2 linked regions of the Oreochromis niloticus genome follow. The protein of the gene in region 2 interacts with the protein of the main gene of each other region in a pairwise test. Links are inferred from orthologs where the notes say so. Each region holds a gene or a part of one and is shown on either strand. Other genes may lie near its edges.

What was found.
Region 1: the proteins of meox2a (region 2) and G patch domain-containing protein 2-like interact in binary tests that used the Homo sapiens proteins (3 or more experiments, as listed by UniProt). The two-hybrid records come from large-scale screens. The link is inferred for Oreochromis niloticus from reciprocal best matches to the Homo sapiens genes MEOX2 and GPATCH2L.

What each region holds. Positions count from the first base shown.
Region 1 is NC_031983.2:10,367,199-10,374,808, reverse strand, and holds the start of G patch domain-containing protein 2-like, read left to right. Parts: upstream 1-4,591; 5' UTR 4,592-4,710; intron 4,711-7,002; 5' UTR 7,003-7,006; coding exon 7,007-7,610.
Region 2 is NC_031976.2:32,488,345-32,495,361, forward strand, and holds the start of meox2a (homeobox protein MOX-2), read left to right. Parts: upstream 1-4,012; 5' UTR 4,013-4,513; coding exon 4,514-5,066; intron 5,067-7,017. UniProt on the Homo sapiens protein: Mesodermal transcription factor that plays a key role in somitogenesis and somitogenesis and limb muscle differentiation. Required during limb development for normal appendicular muscle formation and for the normal regulation of myogenic genes.

The sequences.
Region 1 (7,610 bases), on a different chromosome or scaffold from region 2:
CACAGTTAAAAGATCAGTTTTTCAGGGGGCTAATAATTTTGACCCCGGTATTTTATTTTTTTCTGGAATAATTCTGTTATTTTGTTCAAACAGAATTAATTTATTCTTTTTTTTTAATAAAAATTAGTATATATAGAAATGTTGAAAATCCTTTGCTTCATTGCTTTTGACAAAAAAAAATTATTTCATAGGGGAAGCAATACCTCTGTCCTCATCTGTAACTTAAAAGTCTGCTTTTACTTGCAGTTAAATATTTTTCAGCGATGAAAAAGATGCCACATAACAATGATCGAAACATATTAAGAGACACCCTCGTAGGATTAGTTTTTTAAAGAGAGACAGATCTGTTAGAGAACTCTTCAAATCATTCCCATCTGTCTAAAACGGCTCTGACAAAGATGATTTAAAATGTAAAGAGCTGGCGCTCAGCTCTGTAACCCCTCCCCTTCTCTAAAAGGACAGAGAAAAGAATGATACAAACAGAAGGGGGGGAAAAACTCAAATCCAACTCATTTTTTACTGTATGAAAGTTTCACAAGGTCGTTGGGAGAGTCATGTTAACACAATACCTGAATACAGATTTGTTTCCTTGTTCTACAAGTCACGGAGACCCGAGTCTTTAAGCGATCATTATTACCATACAAATAGACAGATCTATTTAACAACCCCCTTTTTATCGCATAACACTTATTCTTTAGTGTTGCTCCCTGAAAGGCACTGAAATGTGTCTCTCCCCCCACTTACTCTTCCCCTCTTTCTTTTTTTCTTTCTTTTTTTTTTTTCCCCGGGAAATCGTCTCCGGGTTGATAAAGGCTCAGAGCAATAGAAGAAGCAAGGCTGACATCTTCTTAAGAGTTGATAGGAGAGCCAAATCAAATAGGATGGAGCAGTCACTCTTTTCACAGATAGGTAGCTCATTTCTGGTGGCTGAGAGTTTGCATCCCTAGTGGCGCTCTGCCTGGGAAAGATAGCTCGCTCGGACTCCATTCATTATTTCATTCCCTGTCTCCTCTTTTCACATCTTAGCTACTTCTTTTTTCTTCTTTTTTTTTTTTGCTTTAATGAGTTGCCTATTTTTCTCAAGTGTTGATGGCGATCTTGGAATTTAGATTTGGAGACAAAGTGTTTAATCACAAGCGTTTTTCATTTGCCAAGAAGAGGCAAAAAAAAAAAAAATCAATTATTTCTATTAGACAATGCTGATTGAAAATGAATGGAAGTGGTAACATTTTGAAACAAAGGCTCCACGGAGACAAAGATAAGTGTCAGTCTGCTACCCCTGAGGTGTGATGTGTGGTTTGGCTTAATAAGCAGTTTGCAAAACATTTGCTATTAAATCTTTGCAGAGGGTTGATACAAACACAGAGCAGTTTATTAATAATAACAGCTCATAATTCTGTACTTTTAGTGTCACATTGTTCCTCGCAGAGTCAAAGTTGGGGTCCAGATGTAGCAAACTTCTGTTTTTTTTTGTTTTCATGAACGCGTGCGTTGACGCATTAAAGATGTAACTTCATCAGAGGAAATTGCAGGAACTTTCCCCGTCCCCTTATTTATTCCAACACTTACTGAATGAAGCCTCCAAACTCCATATGATATTCACTTTGGCACTTTGTGAAGAGCACTTTGCTATCGCATCCCTCACATTCTCTGCAAATCCCTTAGAAAATTATTTATAAAAATTAACTTCTCTTGCAGAGAGCTCATTCAAAAGAAGAATTACACAACAGATAAAACACTTTATCGCCAGTGAAAGACTAGACAATGTACGTCGAGAAATTGGGAAGAAGGCAGAAACAATGAATATTAAGTGCCTAAGAATCCAAAGCTGCTGACTAAATTGAAACAGTATATCCTGAGGGGGCAAGGTTTCCAAATTGCTAATTACTGCCTCTGAAAGGGGGCTGTTTCTGATATGTTTGCTTGTGAAAGGCTGCCACTTAATGAAGCAGTGGCTAAAGTTTTTTTTTCCTTTCTTTCTTTTTTAATATTCCCACACTCCAGCTTTCAGGGCTCTCTCCGGACTTTCCTCCCAGGCCAGAACAATGGCGGGCCCAGGAGCCCAGCTTCCCCACAGGCCCAATGAGAGGAGGCCGGGGGCTGGGTACTGAGGGAGCCGCTCAGCATGCTGAAATATGGAGGCGACAGATAAGGTGGCAGCGGCACAGAGAGGCCCTCTCCCATGGGCCCAAGGGGAAATTTGCAGTTATTAAGAGGAAGATGAGAGCGATTAAATGGCTTTTGTACTCATTTTCACTGACTTTTCTTTTTTATTATTTGGGCTGCATTCATCTGATAGATGAAAGAAATGGTAAATTACTTTTTTTCTGCTTCATTCAGCAACAACACTAGCATTGAGAAAACATCATTACAGTGAGCTTCAATCATAAAACACTTATTAGTCCACTATTGTTTTAAAAAGTGTGGCAGCAACAGAATTACTGTAATCTGACATCTGGAACTACAGTAATTACAAATTTAACATGGTTTGGGATTTTGGTTTGAAGAAATTGGACAAAATGTAACATTGATACATGCACAGCATATGCATGTTTCTATGTATGCAATCATTTTATGGATGAACACAGCTGGGAGCGGCTATAGAAGCTTGTGCAATTCCACAACAGCCATGCAGCAAATAGAAAGCTCTTTGATTTTTCTTTTATTCAAGCTGTGTGACAGATCATTTCCCACTGAACAGCTATATGACATACTGCCCTGCAATACACTGTGAGGTCTAACAGTGCAATCCAACACAACAGTGTCTTAAAAAGAGAATGAGTAAATTGCATACTCACAACACAGTGCAAACCTGTTACTAATAATACCTGAAGCCTTCACATAGTGTTAGATATGCTTGAGAAAAGAGCAGAACAGTGGTGCAGTGTCACCTAACAGCAAGGAGATTCCTGGTTTGAACCTCTTCGTCAGCTGGGGCCTTTCTGCCTTGAGCGCCCCCACTTACCCACTCACCAGTGCAAACCTAAGCTGGGCAAGCAGTTAAGAAAATGGATGGATGCTTTAAAAAGTCTCCTTCAGGCATTTTTTAGGAGGATTTTTCACCTTTCGAGATGAAAAAATAGGAAGAAAAATGGTTTTCTCCCGGTTTACTATTGGATCCAATATTTCTCCTCATTCAAAGTCAGCTCTCACCGTTGGTGTATTTGCATTGCTGACTTCAGATTTAGGTAACACACTAATGAAGTTGACTTTGGTTAATGCTAATATTATACAGTGCTGTGCAAAAGTCATGAGCCATCCCTTGTGTCTTTATTTTGGGAAATGGGTGAAGAGATTCATTGAAAAATGTGTAAGCATAAATGGAAATACAGTATATAAGGCAAAAACACAGTTTGAACAATTCTATTAAACTTGAAAGTCACTATGTGGTATGACCACCTTTATTATTCAGTATAGTCTGAACTCTCTTAGGCAGCTTTCTTGTAATTTCTTTAGGTAGTCTTCAGGAATAGTTCTCCAGGCTTCTTGAAGGACATTCAAAGCTCTTCTTTGGATGTTGGCTGTCTTTTGTTCTGTCCTTGATCCCACACTGCTTCAATAATGTTAAGGTCCAGTCTCTGTGGAGGCCAATCCATGACTGATGGTGTTGTAATTCTGTGTTTTTCTATCCACGTATGCTTTTACTGCATTGGAAGTGTGTTTGGAATCACTGTCATACTGCAAAATGAAGCTGTTCCCAATCAGGGCCAGATGCATCTCTCAGGTCCTGTGTCATGTCTCTCCTGGATTTGTCTCTGTTTCTTAACAATGTACCTATTAAATACTATCAGACTATCAGATGTGGTACAATGACTGGATTGGTAACAAGTTAAAAATCAGCCAATGTCCAAAGAAAAACTTTGACAGAACTTCTGAAAGCTTGAAGAACAAATGTTTAAGACCACTTCAAAAATGACAAGAAAGTCTGGCTACTTGCAAGGAAACTACATAGAAATAAGGGTATCTTAAGACTTTTGCACTATATATCCAACTCACGGGTGCACAATTTTAAGTTTCATTTTAGATCAGCATAGAAAAACAGTGCATTAGCAGTGTTTAGCAGAGAAAACAATCCATAGTTTCTAAAACCTCTGAATTCTACACAGTGGAAGCAAAGGTATCCAGCTAAAGTTACCAAATCCCATCAAAACAGGAGTGGAGTATGTTTGTGTGAGACAGCCTGCTAACACTGAGAGGTGGTCTGATGTTAACATAGAGCTATTTCTTTAAATATATACAAAACATACAAGATGCAGTTTTACATTTAGTCTATGAAAAACACACATGATCTAAACTGAATGGGACTTTCTCAGGTACTTCACTAACTAAATAAGCATAAGCTCATTCTAATTGTCCCTTGTGACCGTCAGCATGCAGTCCCCCTACAGTCCTCCTTTCCTACCACCACAACTTTTTGTAAACCCTGATGGAAGAAAACTTGCACATTTTCAAAGTCAGATTTGACTGACATTATCTTCCACACCAGCACTCCGTCGGTTTCCTGAAGTGATGCCATAATGATCAGACGCTGGTGTTATCTGCCTTGCAGGCTGTATTTCGACAGCACTGTGCAGTGGCGCACTGTTTTTTTGTTTTTTTTGTTTGGAGGAGTCACAGCGAGGCGGAGCCACCCGATTGGCTGGACTGCAGGGCGGAAGTGCGTCTGGTGTCCCAGCTGTGCTGAAAACAAAACAAGACAAGCTGCGACTGGTGAGTGCTCGAAACGCAGAGGGATGTCTTCTCCCTGGCGTTAAATAGCATCCGAATAGATCCGCGCGCACCGTGTCCGTGAGGCGGCTGTTGTGTTGAGCGCGTGTAAACCGCTTGTTTTGTTGTCAGCAGTGGACACAGAGATGTGTGGCTGTCCTTGTGCTGAGCTCACGTGTGAGCTGTTGTTATGTAACACAGGCTGAGCTGAGCGTGCGGATACTACAGCCAGCCTGAGCTGTTGTTGTGCTGCACTGATGTTGCACAGCTACACGGTCGCTTTTCTTTACTGCTAATAAAACGTGATGTCAATCGTTTTTCTTTTCTTTTAAGCCGATGATGACCTGCAAATGCTCGTAAATGCAGCGCTTTCTACACCGCTGCAATCAAACACGGAGCAATTCCGGTGATGAGCCCACCACGAATTTATGTTGCTAGACTTAAAGGGGGGGGAAATCAACCTAGTGATGTTTTATAGCGCTAAAGCTATTGTAGATTTACTTTGTGATTGTTGCGAGGAGGTGGTGTTTTTCTTTGTTTGTTTGTTTTTTGTCCCATGTCTTTAAAAATGGGATTATGACTGCCACTTGGCTACTTGGGTCTACTGAAATGGACCTCAGTCATCATGGCTGAGATGGTTGGGAAGGTATAGTTCATAATGCTGCTGATACACAAACAGGTAACAAATTACAAGAAACACGTGTAACTGCATTATTAAGTCCCTCCGGAGCAGTTTCACTTTGCAACTCATTCTCCAAATGAAGCCACAAACCATCCTTTCAATAGATACTTCCATATTAGGCAATTAATGATGCTCTTGCGACTGTGCGGGGTTTAGCACATTATTTATGTCTTCCTCAAACCATAAGAGAACCCGCCCATAAAGAAAGAAAGCAACTTTGTATTGATTTGCAGAGGGACAGGTGGACCCCAGCTGTCCTAGCAGAATGCCCGCTGCAGCACTAATGATTGCATAATTATAAGAGTAGAAATATATGAAATTAAAAGGGAACAATGGCATGTCGTTTAGTGGCAAGTCCAGCAAAGTAACAACCTGCAAATACACTATTTCCATTAGACTTTCTCAATGAATGGTTTGACTTGTTGTTTTCTTTACACCTTGAATATTCACACTCACTGGCCACTTTATTAGGAACATCTTGGTAGTACTGGACTGGACACCCTTTTGTTTTCAAAACTGCCTTCATTTTTCATGGCACAGGTTCACCAAGGTGTTGGAAATATTCCTCAAAAACTTTGGTGCATTTTGACATGACAGAATCAGGCAGATGCTGTAGATTTTGTGTTGTGAATCTCCTGTTCCAGCACATCTTAAAGGCGCTCTAGCGGATTAAGATCCGGGTGCAGTGAAGTCATTGTCATGTTCAAGAAACCTGTTTGAGATGATTTGAGCTTTGGGACGTGGCGCATATCCTGCTGGAAGTCGCCATTAGAGGGTGGGTAGACTGGTGGGTCAGAAAGGGATGGATGTGTTCAGCAACAATACCCAGGTGTGCTGTGGTGTTTAAACAATACTGAGCTGCTGAGGTGTGCCAAGAAAATCCTCTGCACCTGTACACCACCAGCAGCGGTCTAAATGTTTGATTTGATTTCAAATGTTGCAGGAAAAATGGGGAATCATGAGACCAGATAACATTTTTCAAATTTTCTACTTTTCAGTTTTGGTGATCTTGTATGAACTGTAGTCTTGGTATCCTGTTCTTAGCTAACAGCAGTGTCATCCAGTGTGGTTTCTGCAGATTCATTCAGGGATGCTCTTCTACATATCTTGGTTGTAATGAGTAGTTATTTAAAGTTTCTGTTGCTTTTTTATCAGCTCAAAGTCAGTCTACCCATTCTCCTCTGGCATCATAACCCATTCTGGCACCCATAACCCATTGTGAGAAAATCCCAGTACATCAGCACTTTCTGAAATACTGGGACCAGTCCCATTTGATGCTCAGTTTAAACTTCAGCAGGAATACATCTACATGCCTAAATGCACTGAACTGTTGCTGTGTGATTGGCTGATTAGATATTTGCATTAACAAGAGGTTTAACATGTGTGCCTAATAAACTGGCCAGCGAGTGAAGATGGTGATAATCATTTAGAAAAGCCCACATTGTGGGTATATTTTCAAAAAATGAGAGTGACTTCAGGAGGAGCACATCAAAGTACATTGGACGTTTCTATTGTTTCATATAAACCTCTAGCCTGCACTTAACAACTGCAATTTAACATGACAAGACATCCAAAGAGTTTAACTGGTCACTAACATTTTCTTTTTTTCCCAGCACCATGATGGATGAGCTGGTGCAGGACCTGGTGTCTGCACTGGAGCAGACCTCAGAACAGAATAAGCTTGGAGAGCTGTGGGAGGAAATGGTCCTGAGTCCTCTGGAGCAACGCCGTCAGATCCGCCGTCGCAGAGGCCGTAAGCGTTTTCGCGAGTCCACCCTCTACCCGATAGAGCACAGGCGATGCTGGATCGAGGCATCCGAGTCCAGCTTGGACGAGGCTAAAGAATACAGGGAGAACATCACTACTTCTGTGGCCAACTGCAGTGACTCTGACGATATGACCGCATCCACCCGATGGCCGTCCCTCATGAGAGGCTCAGTCAGGGCGAGGCAGTCCTCCTGGCCAGAGTCCGACTCCTTCAATGAGAATAACCCCGGACGTCCACTCAGGAGGCGGAGGAAAGTTAAACGCATGACCTCAAATGTAACCGTCAGACTGCAGTCCACTTTAAAAGGTTCTGGTTTGGATAGGAAACAGAGGAATAGGCCTTCTAAGGTGCGGCATCTGTCAGGATCAAAGAAGCGGTCTGGTGGTTGGATGGGAGCAGACAGAAAGACTGAAAGAGCCAGACTGATGGGAAAGGAGTGCTGGGAGAGAAAGA
Region 2 (7,017 bases):
TACTCACAAAATCAGCTCAGTGTGATATGGTATTTGTCAACGAAGCTGTAGCACATTTAAGTATTGCCTCCTTATTAAGAATCTGAGTCCTAAAAATATGTTCAAGTTACGGAGCCTGACAAAAATGAGGAAAAACTACTTGCTGCTACTAATTTGAAAGGGATTTTCTATTGATGACAATCGTGAAAATTGCTTGTCTTCCAACACGTTTGCTTGCAATTTTTATTAAAAGGGATAATAATAAAATTTATTTTTAAATAAAAATCACTGTACTCACTCCATCTTGGGTAAGGAGAAATCAGTGTTCTACCTTCTGCAGGTTTCTACTTATTTACAAAGACACTTCGGTTATCACGTCCGTACTTCGCTGCACGCTTTAGAGGCTCACTGAGTGTTATACACTCTGAAATGTTTCCATATTAGCCGGAGACTAAAACAAGAGGAAAAAGTTTAATACTGATTACACACACACTGGGCCTTTTTAAATGCTCATATTAGACTCTGAAGCCGAGAGAGCCGGCATCAAAGCTTTTCTGTAGTGAAGCATATTACACATCCGGGCCCGTTAAATTTGGGAATGTGAGTGCAGCAAGTGGCAGCAAGAATAACTGAAAGGATTTAGTTTTATCATAAAGTCTGGTAAGCTGGTGTGCCAGCAGATTTCTTTTTAAATGCAGTATATAAATATATAGTGTTTTGTAACACACTCTAAAGTTGCTGCATGTGGACATAAAGGCAGCAATTATAACTTCTCCTAAAAAAGATATTTTACATTATTACATCTGTGTTTTTCTAATTTGTGTTTGAACGTGAGCCCCATAATAACATATTTGTTACATATTAACAAATATATTAACATCTTTGTTCACTGCCAGGTGCCATATAAGGCTCATTTACATGCTAAATAAAGGAAATATGAAAACATACCGTTACCCTTCTCTCATTTTTTCATTTCTTTAATGCATACAACACACTTTCAACACATTATTTCTTTTATGCCTCTGTTGGATTTTTGTTTGCTCTGTTTGCTTTTGATCATATCATTGCTTGTGTGCTTATCTGTGTAGTACCTCTGTATTGGCCTATTGCGTTTCCAGGTAAGATTTTTTCCTTCCAAGCTCTCAGGGGCTTTTAAATCCAACTACACAGCTTCCTTCTATTCTTTTCTTCTAATTTTTGCTCTCTTTTGTGTTTTGCCTACAAGAAAAAAAAGAAAAGAAAAAAAAGAAAGAACCCTTAGAAATTTTAATAACATGTTAAAGAAAGGCAGATATACTTTTTCACTGTTTTACATTTCAGCAAAAGCCAGAACTTTCACTGTTGCTGGCTGGTAAAATTTCAGCAATTAGACAAAGTTTGGTAATTTAGCAGCAAATGACGATGTTAACTTTAAACACCATCACACACTCTTTAAATTAGTATAAGAAAAGGAGTAAAGTGGTAGCTGCATGTTTGTTTTGGTGACGGTGGCACTGAGCTGTGGTTGCTGTAATGTGTCCTGCCTGTGGGACTGACTGACAGCCACAGGTTGAGCAGCAGGTCTTTTACCTTCAGTTTCTGTGTACTGCAGAGAAAACATGCTGCCCCGAGCCCCGCTTTAAGATCATCGCAAACACAGCCTCTTGGTAGCCTCTTCTTTTGAACTTTTTATGCTTTACACACACACTCGCCTTAAAACGTCATGTCACATGTCATCACATAAAAAGTCAGACAAATGTGTGCTTTTGGAGGCCAACACAGGTAGCGGTGGATTTACAGCACCACGGTTTGTGCCAGTATTCAGAATATCATCATTCTTATTTCCAAATAAGAGTTGTTGGGTTTTTTAAAATTTCAGAGTTCGAACACATTTGAAAATGCATTTACACCATCATGTGACACTAAATATCTTCACTGAATACAAACTAATGACGTTTACTTTTAGGGTTAGGCGCTCTTAAAGGCACAAAATGTAACCAGTGTCAGGGATTACATTTAATTTATAAAAAAGAGAAGCTAATTAAATATATAAAATGTGTAAAATATTTAATTGCTTTTATGAGGGCAATAAGACTCTTTGATCCTTCATTTTTTTAACAATAAAAGATGTCGGCTTTAACTATGAATGTATCCCTATTTTACACACCAACACTCTCTCACTTATTCACACACAAGAACATTTTGCCTCATAAAGCTCACAAGGGCCAAAGACTCGGACCGACTGAAAACACCCACGCCACAGGCCATCGGTGTAGCGAGACCAGCAATAGGATTGGAAACACGTGTGTAGTAATACCTGCTCAAGGCCCTGAGCAAATATATAGCCTGGGCTAACCTGCTAATAGCCTTAATTTGTAAGATAAACAGTAGAAGAGTTTGACACTCACTCACCTAAGGTGCCTTTCCTCTGCTGCGCTGCCTCTGCTGCCTTCAGAGGCTTTGGAGGGACTGGGGGGGAGCGACAGCGGCAAAGTTACAGCCTGCCTCCGCCATGCTATCTGTTAAAGTAATTTTCCCTCAAAGAGGAATTAATTTCCTTTCTCAGGCGGCTCACAGAGCCCCATGGCACAGCCTGACTGGATCCCTAGAGTGTGGAGTCATCGTGACCGTCTCCCTCTAAAACCTGGCCGAGCCATGAAAGCTCTGAAGCAGCTTTGACTTTTAATTTTGTTTTATAGATTATATTGATTTAATTTATCCTGTGTATTCTTTTATTTCATACTGCGGGCAGTGTGCAAGTGTGCTTTTGAATTTTAGAAAACAGAAATAGGAAGGAAAGGAGATATCTATCAGACGATCATTCATCTGTATTTCACCGAAAATGTAAAACACTTAAGTTACAATTTAATTCTATTATATGAACCATCAATATCACACAAAGTGTTACATTTTAAATTACGTGACTAAGAAAATGTAATTGTATAGAACCAGATTTTTATAATTCCCCCATTAGGTCAATACCATACAGCTACAAATCATTATTATGTCTCATCTTTTTCTTCCAAGACTTTCTGTCTTAAATGAGGTTGACAGGAGAAAAATAAATGAATTTTATTTGATTTTATTTGAGCTTTAGTTGAGCTCTGGATATGAATAATTAGAGAAAATAAGAGAAACCAGTGACACATTCACAGCTGTTTCCCAGCTGCTATTTTCCCCCTACTTCTCACAAAGAATGACTTTTCTTTTATAGCCAAACAAATTTAAAGAGAGACACTAATGTTAGGAGCAAAAAATTTATGAACAACTTTCCTTCTGTTCATTTCCTTCTCTACACACGAATACGCTCCACATACTAATATTTAATTTATATATATATATATAAATAGAAATTGTTACAGGCATAGTTTATATAAAAACAATGTGTTGGCATCTACAATTGTATAAAATAGCATTTCCACATTTGCCACAGCAATTATTGGTGATAAAAAATAGTGGAATAAAGTTTGTTATTTCAGGAAGCAGATTTGTGACCTTCACGACCTCGTATCAAAAGTCGAAATGTATCCATATCGGTTTAATGATGTGTTTCATTTCAAAATGAGATAAACACCATTTCCAAAAAAAGTCACATTCACAAAATGATTGGTTACACTACATTAAAAAGGAACCGTGGTCATTCTAAGTCTAGCATGGGCAAAACGTTAGCCTTCCTTTCACTTATGAAAAGTTTGGTTCCAAAATATTTGTTTCCAATAAGTTGCAAGTCTGCGTTGCAGTGACAAAATAGCTCTCTTAACATCACATGATCGTGATAGTGATGGCTTAAAGTGACCTTTAATGGACGCTACAAGCATCCTTGCCCGCTACCACCAACTTTTGACAAAGATGGGGTGACACGCTGAGTTAACCTCTGACACCTCTCCTTCGCTCTCTCTTCACACTCTCTCCCTTCCCCTCATACGACCTCCCTCTCCCTCCCCCAGCCCCACCCATGAACCATTAAGGCTGTTTTCTTGTAGGAAAAAAAGATGGCCACCCGAGGTCAGATCCAAGTCCAAAATAAATTGCCTTCTTTCCTGAGGCTCAGCCATTTTAATAGTACAGATTTATTATGCTGTGCTTTTTGGAGGGTGATCATATGTATGTGGTCAGTAGCGCGTATGCAGTCTATGACCCAGCCTCCCTCTCACGTTACACCCTATTTATAACATCCCCTGCGCTGGCTCCCCTCGTTCTGCAGTTCCTAGGAACCTCCTTCTGCTCCCAGCCTCGAGCTCCAGTCCCGTGTTCCTCCTGACATCTGAGAGGCTCAGCTGCAGCTTGTCCTGGGCTAACTGTTTATCCTGTACAGCCTGGCAACTGGCCGCATGCTCTGGATTACCACAGGACACCCATTTCAAAACACATTTTACTTGCTGCTCTGACCATTTTTTCCTAACTGAAGAGAAAAGTTTTGGGATAGTCAAGGAAGAAAGGGAAGCATCTTGGATATGCGCTTGTGATCTTTCTGATTTTGGTTGATTTAGTAACATTGCCTCTTACGCTTGCCCTTCTCACCTTTCCCGGAGGGCCGTGTGTGTGTTTGCACACAATGGATCACACACTGTTCGGCTGCCTGCGGAGCCCCCACGCCCCGGCGCAGGCCCTGCATCCCGCCTTCACCCAGTCTCCTCTGGCGCTTCACGGACGCTCGGACCATGTCTCCTACCCTGACCTGGCCTCTTCGTCGTCCTCCTCCTCTACCTCCTCACCCTCGCCCTGTATCATCTCCAGCTACCCGGGTGACGACAGCCTGTTTCCTGGGCAGCACCACCACCACCCTCACCGCGGCCACCTGCCCTCCCAGCAGCATCACCACCCACCTCAGCACCATACATCTTGGCATATCCCGCAGATGCCGTCACCTGGCAGCAGTACTCGCCACAGCCTTTGCCACCCACACTCCCACTCATCTCACGACAATGGGCCCACGCCTTCAGACCTGGGCCACCCCGGTGGGCCCAGTATGTGCGCCAGCACCCCCAGTCTAGGCAGTGGCAGCACCCCTACAGGGGCCTCTTGTGTGCCTGCAGACTTTGGCAGACAGACTTTGTCACCTGCTGAGGCCGAGAAGAGAAACGGCAAGAGGAAAAGTGACAGTTCAGGTAAGAGAAGCTGGGATTTTCCGAAGCGATAAGTGAAGCAGTTCTGAAGGCAGAGATTTCATTCGTGTGTTTTTTAAAGCTGACACATTGCACAACCCGAGACTTCATGTAAAATACTTTGGAGGCATTTCTAAAATGTCTTTGTTCATTATTTTACTTGGATAAACATTTTAACATAAATATCAGCATTTAAGAAATTCCACACAGAGCTCAAGAATAACAGAAACATCTGTACACATCACTCTAAATCATTCAACAGCACAACTGTTGGGAATTCTGCAGCTCTGATACAAAAACAAAAAAACGTCTGGAAAGCGGTTTGTAGGTGCCGGCTGACACGCAGCAAGGCGGGAGGCGACAGGCGGACTGAAGCGTGGAGCAAAGGCCACATCATAAGTGTGCAGGCACATCTGACTACTGGCATGTTTTGTTTAAAAATCACATCTGGTTTGTTGCAACACTTTTTAGAGAGCTGAGAATAAAGAGGGCAGTAAAGAATTAATGTCATGGATTGTAAAAGACTACACCGGTGCCTCATGGCACACTAAACAACCGGGCGGACGCAAATTGTTTTCATTTACTAAAAACTGCAGTTAAAAGAAATCTCAGGTTTACTGAAGTAAAATGAAAGACTGGGAAGTATTTGTAGTGTCATGTTTAACAAAGGCCAAGTTTAGATAGGGAACTTACTACTGTTACAAAATGTATGTAGCTAATCATATTAATATTTGACCTTTTTTCATTTATTTTAAATGATCTTATTATCACAAAAAAAACACGCCACTTAATTCCTACAAAATTTAAAAGACCATTACAAGTTTCCTTTATTTTTATCTACAGGCAGTTGTTCAGGACAGTAAAGCTCCCGAGGGCAGTGAGCTTTAACACACCTTCTTGTTAAATTTTACATTTGTGATTCTCCCAAAAATCACCCATAAATTATGCATGTATAATCATTTAATTGCTCTTGAATCGGGCCTCATTCATACAAATGTATTTAAAAATTCAAAACCACAGATAATTATAAAAAGCACACTTCTCACAAATCATTAATAAATAAACACCTTTTTAATACTATATTTAAATTGATAATAAAGCAGCTGATGACCTGCAAAACCTTTGCAACCTGCAGGCACCACAATAATCAGTCACACGATGATAAATGGCCGGGGTCGAGTCGCAAGAAATCTCACTAGCAAAGTGATATCAGTGAGAGTTTCTCATAGAAAGTCTGCTTGCCAGTTTGTGTCCATTTGAGGATTTCAGCCTGTCATTGCTAATCCTGCACCCTTTGGATAAGGTCTCTGTACTCGCAGTGCATCATCTGCAGTTGACCGGTGATATTCCCACATCTCCACAGGATACTTGGAGAGTGTGTTTCTTCCCCCTCTGACTGGTTGGGTGTTGCTGTAGCTGACAACAAGTTTATATACCAAAAGTTAGGGAAATATAACAGGATTAACTTTAGACTGACTTTAAATAATAACACAAAACAAAAACACCACTGGCACTAATTTAGCTTTCAATCCAAATTCCGTGGTGATTATTAGAAACTCCATAAGTGAACTGAAATATTTGCCATTTTACAACATAAAATGACAGATTTCAACATTTTATTTTCCTTTGCACTAAATGTCCAGTTGTCCACATGCAAAATGTTGAAATAGTACATTTAACCCATTAATTCATCACTCTACCTCCTACTCCCTTTCCTCTTTTGTCAAATCACTGGAAAACTGAGCCCTTGCCTCCAGATCCCACTTCCTCTGCAACAATAGTCACTGCATACTCATTACATGTGCAGCGCATTCTCCCAACGCTAACACCAATCACGCTGATTATTGGGGCTAACTAGGCTGCTGACTCAGTCAGCTGTCTAAATATCAGAGCACTGCCTGTTGCATGAGATAGAGCTCTGATTAGGTTTCACCATCTGGACGAGAAACTTGAG